Caenorhabditis elegans: one gene and its partner. The protein of the gene in region 1 purifies or fractionates together with the protein of each later gene. This does not show direct contact. Each region holds a gene or a part of one and is shown on either strand. Other genes may lie near its edges.

Region 1 (3,924 bases):
AAGACTGTTGGCATTGAACGCCTTGTGGCCCGTGTCCATGTCCACCGAATCCACCGTGTCCTTCAAAGTCGTCGCGCTCAGCGAAATTCCTGCGAGATGCTTGTGGATCTAACTCGGTCAGCTCAACGACTTCCGCGTCTTCATCAATGATTTCTTCTCCTGAAAGAAAAATGATTAGTATTTCACACTGTAAACGCAATAAAACGAACTCTTTCCAGGCAGTAAATCGGCTAGCTTCTTCGCGGCATCTGGATTAATTTTATCGGGGAATTTCACATCGAACTGTACGAGAAGATCTCCTTTATCAGATGATGCTCGACGCATTGGCATTCCCTCGTTGTGGATCACTTTAACATCGGCATGAGCAATAACCTCTCCAGGAAGAACACGATAGAAAATTGTTCGACCATCAAGTGTACTGATTGTTCGCACAAATCCGCACAGAGCCTCGGAAAGATCGATATTGTGTTGAATAATCAGATTATCGCCTTTTCGGACGAATTTCTCGTGTTCAACCTCGTCGAGCACAACTACAAAGTCTCCAGGCTTCTCAATACCGATCACTTCGTCTCCTTTTCCTTCGAACACAAACTTCTCGCCATCTTTCATGCCAGGCGTGATTCCAACTTCAATAATTTCGTCTTCTTTCACCTGAAATCACTAATTATAGTTTCGAATTCGATTGGAGAAAAGTCAAACCTGCTTCTTTCCGTTACACTTTTTGCAGCGATCTTTTTCAAGGAATGTTGAGCCTTCTCCATTACAACTGTCGCAGTGAGATTGCATTTGTTGAACCATTGGTCCCATTCTGATAACACGAACCTTGATTCCACGTCCACGACAATCAGAGCACTCCTTAGCGGATCCCTCGTTGCCTCCAAGTCCCTTGCATCCTTTACAAGTGGCAGTTCTTGAGATTTTCAGCTTTTTCGTAACACCCTTGTACAGTGTGTCGAGTGTGACCCGTAAATTGTGAACCGTTGGTTTTACTCGACGTTCTCCACGACCACCACGACCACCGCCTCCGAAGAACATGTCGAATACGTCGAACGGATTGTGGAATCCCTCTCCGCCACCACCACCGCCTTGAAGTGCTTCTTCTCCACCCTGATCATAAATCTGACGTTTCTTCTCATCTGATAATACTTCGTATGCCTGCAATATGAGTAATTTCAACTTTGCAGCTGGATTTCGTAACAAACCTGGGAGATCTGCTTGAATTGCTCAGCTCCGTCTGGATTCTTGTCTGGATGGAATTTGAGCGCCATTTTACGGTAGGCCTTCTTCAACTCATTGTCTGAAGCATCCGGCTTTACTCCGAGAACGTCATAATATCCTGTTTCCTTCACCATTTTGATAAATACGAATCTGAAAAAGAAAATAATAATTTTTCTTCATTTATCGACGAATTTCGAGTGTCAGAATGAAAATTATACCAAAAAGCGAATTGTTTTGCGTAAATCCAACACGATAAAATCGATTTTGAAGTCAAAAATGGGGAAAGTCAAGAGATAAAGGGCGAAAAAGAGGAGAAAACGCGAAAACTGTTCTAACGATTTTTCGTGAACATTCTCGACACTTTTATCGGTGGAGCGCACTTGCAACTCACCAAGCGGGGACATTTTTGTCTCGTGGAAACTGATTCGTGAGAAATATTTTAAAAATGCACGATTATTTGTGGAAAACTAAAAAAAATCTTACATAGATTTTCATTCAAAACAACTATTATACAGGATAGCAATTGGGGAGATACTGTAATTTTAAAATCTTTTTAAAAATCTGTTTTTTTTTCATTCATGAATGAACTGCAGTTTTGATGTTTTTTCAAACGTATTCTTCAAAAACTCGAGAAATTAGCAAAAATTGAGGCTTTGTTCGAAATTTTCCGCAGCTTCCGTGATTCACACATTAAAAAAACTCCAATTTAAAATTCCCGCAAAAAAGTGGCATGGCCGTGACCGAGGTTTCACCTGAGCGGCTCCATTTTTTTCCTAGTCCATCTTGATTTTTTTCCGAATTTGGAATTTCAAGCTCAAAATTTGTTTGTAATATCAATGGAATTACACATTTGGCCGTCAGACTTCGGTCTCCCAACTATTGACGTTGTGTCTCTGCAGTTTTTGGTAAGATTTTGTGTCAACTTTGGTTAATTATCGTCATTTCTGTTCCAGGCGTGCTCTAAAATGTGTGCCAGCCCAGTAAGAGTCATCCAATCGACCCGTCCTTGGAGATCGCCGAGCGGTGAGCTCCCAATGGTCGCTCAAACCGAAGGAGAAGCAAAACCAGTGACAGATTTCGAAAAATTTGTGGATATTCTGAAAAAGTGCGGCCAAGACGTGGTTATCGATGCAGACTTGACCACTATTGAGAAAGCACAGTTGGACGCATTTTCCTGTTATTTACATCACAATTTGTATCCAGCAGTGGTAAGATTAAAGAAAAATTAAGCTGAAATAAATCAATTTTCCCTTCCAGATGCACACATTTTGGACGGACGAGCTCAATTACAATACAGTGACGCAATATTGGTACGCATCTCATCTGCATTTCCCCTACAATCTGTATTACCTCGAAAAGCGACGAAAGAAGGCATTGCGATTGTTGGCTGGAAAGAATGACACTGAAATTTTGAAAGAAGCATTCATGGCGTTGAATACTCTATCCACAAAGCTTGGCGATAATAAATTTTTCTGTGGAAATAAGCCGACGTCACTGGATGCCCTGGTATTCGGCTACCTTGCTCCACTGCTCCGAGTTCCACTGCCAAATGATCGTCTTCAAGTCCAGCTCTCAGCATGTCCGAATTTAGTGAGATTCGTGGAAACTGTGTCATCAATCTACCTGCCACTTGGCGAAGATGAGCTCAAAAGACAACAAGCGAATCGGAAAATGTGGCAATCTCGGATCTCGAAAGCAAAAGCAGACAAAGAAGCCGCGAAAACAACAGAAGAAGCGTCGGAATCACTTCCAGAAGAGCCTCCAATGCGGGATGCGATTCTCTTCACTCTCGGAGCTCTCACGTTGTCATTAGTGTTCGCAATTCATACCGGTCTGATTCAAGTGTCAGTCGAAGAGGAGATCTCTGAGTGAAAATTGTTGTATTTCTTTTTAAATTGTTCTTCTTTTTTTGCTTGCCCCCTACCTACTGCCACCCACGAGACGACAAAATCAGAAATTTTCTAGTCCCTCTACGTTCATCTGATTGCATTTTATTGGTTCATAGAACATTTTCTGGTAGATTTATTGGATCGTAAATATAATGAATGCTTTATTTCCGAAATTTAGCTTTTTGCGCTTTTTAGTTGGATTTGGACGGAAGCGAGGAAAAATTGAATCAGATATGAATTTCGAACTCAAAAAAGCAATTATCAATTTCTATACATTTAAGGAAGAAAGATCCTCAACAAGCTAGAACTATTGTTAATTTTAAAAAAAGTTAATTTTAATTACTATATATTTGAACAAAATGATAGGAAATTTTCAATTCCGGCAAATTGTCGGTTTGCCGGAACTTGTCAATTTCGGCAATTTATCGGTTTGCCGGAAATTTGAAATTCCGGCAAATTGCAAGTATGCCCGAAATTTTCAACTCCGGCAATTCGCCGATTTGCCGGACATTTTCCATTCCGGAAAAATTTGCCGATTTGCCGGAAATTTTAAATTCCAGCAATTAGCTGATTTGCCTGAAATTTTAAATTTTGCAAATTTGCTGATTTGCCGGAAATTTTCAATTCCGGCAATTAGTTTATTTGCCGGAAATTATAAATTCCGGAAAAATTTGCCGATTTGCCGGAAATTTGAAATTCCGGCAATTTGCCGATTTGCCTGAATAAATCGTTTTCCGCCCAGCCCTGGTTAGAACTATTACGGAAACTCAAAATTCTGAGAATGCGTATTTTACAACATATTTGGCGCGCAAAATAT
Region 2 (3,924 bases), on another chromosome or scaffold:
TTTGAAGTATCATTTCACTTTCAAGATACTGTTAATCGTGTTGATTTTAACATCGCATTCCGTTTTGTCAATATTGTATTACCAGCTTTTGATTCAGTTTTAATGTAAAAGTCATTACAAGAAAATGGTTTTTTGAAAAGTTTGCACAGTCATCTGCTCTCAGCTTCTACACAATTTATTTTTTTGCAATGCTAAACAAGACTTACCAATTGCATGACAGGGTTCTGTGTTCTTCATGTAAAGTTGAGCCACCTGCAAAGCGTCGATGTCGGTTGTGCCGTTTTTTGTGCTCATATCTTCAATGAGAATCCAGTCTGTAGACATCATTGCGAAAATTGCCTGAAATATTGGAGAATACTATTATTGAAGTCATGTGCAAAAGCTTACCAGAATAGCTGCAACGGTGTGGAAAGAGGCGGCTGGAATATTGGCATCACGAAAATCCATCCTAGTGCATAATGATCCAAGCTTGGAGAAAAACATTTTCTGGAAACGTCTAAATGGGACAAAGTAAGAGTTAAATAAGAAAGTAAAGAAAAGTTGACATAGAATTTTCTGTGACCCTGCCTCGGAATATTTATTCAATGTGCCTGCTGACGAAAAAAAAACACGAAAATGAAAAGAAGCAGCGAGCCCATCGAGCCCGAGGGAAATTGAGAAAAGAAAGAGAATCAATAGCGGCGGATGAGAGGGTGCAAACCCGAGGAAAAGGCAGCCCCACTCTCACTGCCACATCGCTTCGAGACCCTCGCTTCAAACTACGGTGAATATACTCTGCGTCTCTTAAGCATTGCTGGGCATGTTAAAATTCTTGCGCTTTAATAAGTTGTGTATGGTGACTGAGAATTTGTATATTTCAAAATTCTATTTGAATGGAAAGAGTTAATTGGAAGAAAAATGAAAAAAGAAATTGAAAATCAATTATTTTAAAAATAAAATATAAGTTCTAACACTACCAATTTCAAGTACACTGGCCTAACCAAACAAATGACCTTGGCGATTTTTTTTCAACATGAAATGCCCAGATACAAACACCATTTATCAATTGTACACTGGTTTCTAATGGTTTCTACTATTTTTTTAGTGCATTATCAATTTTTAAAAATTTCCGGTAAAGTGTACATATCAGGGGTGCGCGGCAATTTCGGCAAATCTACAAAATGAGCCAAAATGAGCAAAAAGTGATATATTTTATTAAATGTTAAAAATAAAATATAGAAAAACACTTTTTTTTTAATCTAAAAGTAATGTTTTATTTAATATGAAACAACTGTAAAAATGCTCAAAAATAGTATGCAAGTTGAAAATTGCCGGAAATTATTTTCCATAATTTGTGGGATATTTTTCCGGCTCTTATTAAATTAGAGACAATTTCTAAGCAGTTTTTTATTTTTATTTTTATGAATTATATTAAAGATGTTTTCAAATAAAGCAAACATTTTTCTGAAGTTTAAGGAAATATCTGGTACTATATGCTGCACTTTTGCTGCACTTTTTTGCGTACAAATGTTGATTTCTAAATTGAAAAGTTACACAGAACAGTAAAAATTCATGTTGCATAAAATTTTAGGACGTTTATGGCACTTCAAATATCTTTAAATTTGGCCACTTTTCCAAGTCGTAGTAATCCAAAGCTGCTATTTTAATACTATAATTTTTTCCTATCGGTTTTAAATGTATTTTAATTAACAAAATTACGGTACTTCTGTAGTGTTTACAATTCTGAAAAATTAACGTTACCCTTTTTGTCGATATTAGGCTTAGGACTAAAGTTTTTTTAAGCTTAAAAATACAACCAAATTCCGCGTTTTGATTAAATAATCACTTTTAAAAGTGTTGGAAAATTTTTATGGACCAGGTGTGCGATACGGAAAAATGGCCGAAATTGGAGATTTCACTTGAAATACGTTTTTTTTTCGAAATTTTCAACCGGCAAAAACTACTTTTTGAAAATTTTTAATGAAGTTTCATTATAAAATTCGTTTATTTGAGCTCATTTTGGGTTTATGCGTTCAAAATGTCCCAAACGTTTAATGCATCGGCAATTTCCCTTTGTTTCCCTGCCACACTCTTCCAATGCCTCCCCACACAGCCATTCTTCCCGTCGTCCCGTACGCACTTACAAAAGATACACAGACATCGATTGCTGGCGCGTTTCTCGTGCATGACGCGCAACTTAATCTTCGAACACTAAACAATATGTTTATTTCTTTTTCGATTGCACTCTCTTGATTATTTTGATTTTTTCTTGATTTATATAAAATTTCGTTGTAAAATTTATTACTTTTTAGGTAAATTATTCGCTGCTCGTCGCGGAAATGTTTCGTATTGCATCGGTGAGTTTTTTTTTCATTAAAAAAATGCAATTTTTAGTTTAAATGTATAATTTTTTCATTTCAGAAGCGATCAGTCAGCCAGACGTTGAAAAGAGCCCGTCAACAATCAAATCAAGCCGCTGCTCCACCGAAGCCACCAGTTCAACCACCAAAGTAAAACATACACCAAAATCGATAATAAAAACGCGTCGTATTTCAGAAAATCCGGAGGTGGCAAAGGATTGGCTCTTGTCGGAGCAACCGTTGTTGGAGCTGGTGGTGTTGTCGGATACGCGTATGTCGACCCTGAGTTCCGTCACAAAGTCGAATCCACTGTTCCGCCAGTGAAACAAGTTTTCGACGCAGTTTTGGGAGAATCTAGCTTGCAGTAAGCTTTATTTACTAAAAAAGTGACAGTCTTAACGATAATCCTTTTTCAGGAAGACAAAACAACAGATCGGTGACCTCAAGGATGCTGTAGTGAACGCTGTCCCAAAAAAGAAGGAAGTTCTTCCTCCATTGGAGCTCGCGCCACTGCCGCCTGTCCTTCCAAGAGAGCCCACACATGTTGACCCAGTGGATGTTCGCAAAGATGTGACCCCAATGATCCCAAAACCTTCTCCAGATGTCGTCTTTGCCAAGAACCAACGTAAGATTTTTTAAGCGTAATTTTCATAACAGTTTAAAGTTACAGAACTTGAGGAGAAGCTTAAAATCGCAATTCACTCTGCTGAAGGAAAAGTGCGTTTAGCCACTGAGGCCAAGCTGAAGACCATCAATGCGATCAATGAGCATGCCAGTATTCTCAAGCAAACCGTCGATGATGCTAAGCACGCCAACTGGGAAAACGTCACTTCTGCTCTTCAAAGAGCCGAAGCTGAGGCACGCGTCGACAGTGGCCAAGAGGTGGACGGGAGAAACTACATTGATAACCTTCGCAAGGTATCTTTTGGTACAGCCTAACACCCAAAAAAAAATTTATGTTTGAAATTTTGAACCGCAATGACACAAAATTTTTAAATTTTTTGAGAAACTTCATTGCGAAATTCTTTTAATGAGCACATTTTGGTCTTACACCTTCATAATAAAATACCCAGAGTCGTTAGACCATTGGAAACTAGGACTTGACTAAACCGGACTAAATCTGTCGTCCGGTCTGCGGAAGTTCGGCTATCTAGTGCCTGTTTTTGAACTGCTACACAAGTTATTATGTGACAGGTCCTATGATTTTTGTCTTGTTGCAATACTTCGACCCTGTTTTTTTTTCAAAATTTGTAAAAAGGACCTCTTCCAAGCTCATTTACGAAAAGGAATTAAATGCAACTGAAAATAGAGACGCTTGTTTAATATTTGATTAAATGCAAATTTTTAATAATAACTATTTATTTTTCTCAATTCGGACATTTACAGATTGTGAACGATGGAAAGCGAGATTCAACTACCGCCACAAATCCGCTACTTCTGAATGCTCAAGAGACTGCTAATAAGCTTTCTCATCAGCTTGATGAGATCAACGCATTGGTCAACAAGGTATTACATGCATTGGCACTTTTACCAAAAATTGTCAAAATTGTTTTCAGTCTCGTCAAGAATCTGCAGTCCTCAATCA

Evidence for each region.
Region 2: the proteins of mtx-1 (region 1) and immt-1 fractionate together in Caenorhabditis elegans (co-fractionation; one large-scale study listed by BioGRID). This does not show direct contact.

What each region holds. Positions count from the first base shown.
Region 1 is NC_003279.8:14,754,507-14,758,430, reverse strand, and holds mtx-1 (Metaxin-1 homolog), read left to right. Parts: upstream 1-2,018; 5' UTR 2,019-2,054; coding exon 2,055-2,123; intron 2,124-2,171; coding exon 2,172-2,426; intron 2,427-2,475; coding exon 2,476-3,090; 3' UTR 3,091-3,277; downstream 3,278-3,924. Other genes in the region: dnj-12 (DNaJ domain (prokaryotic heat shock protein)), read right to left, coding at 1-159, 210-651, 700-1,155, 1,203-1,352.
Region 2 is NC_003284.9:2,685,552-2,689,475, reverse strand, and holds the start of immt-1 (MICOS complex subunit MIC60-1), read left to right. Parts: upstream 1-2,291; 5' UTR 2,292-2,318; coding exon 2,319-2,336; exon of another isoform or gene 2,337-2,400; coding exon 2,401-2,489; intron 2,490-2,535; coding exon 2,536-2,703; intron 2,704-2,755; coding exon 2,756-2,964; intron 2,965-3,009; coding exon 3,010-3,257; intron 3,258-3,725; coding exon 3,726-3,845; intron 3,846-3,895; coding exon 3,896-3,924. Other genes in the region: T14G11.1 (Membrane-associated protein), read right to left, coding at 207-339, 388-483.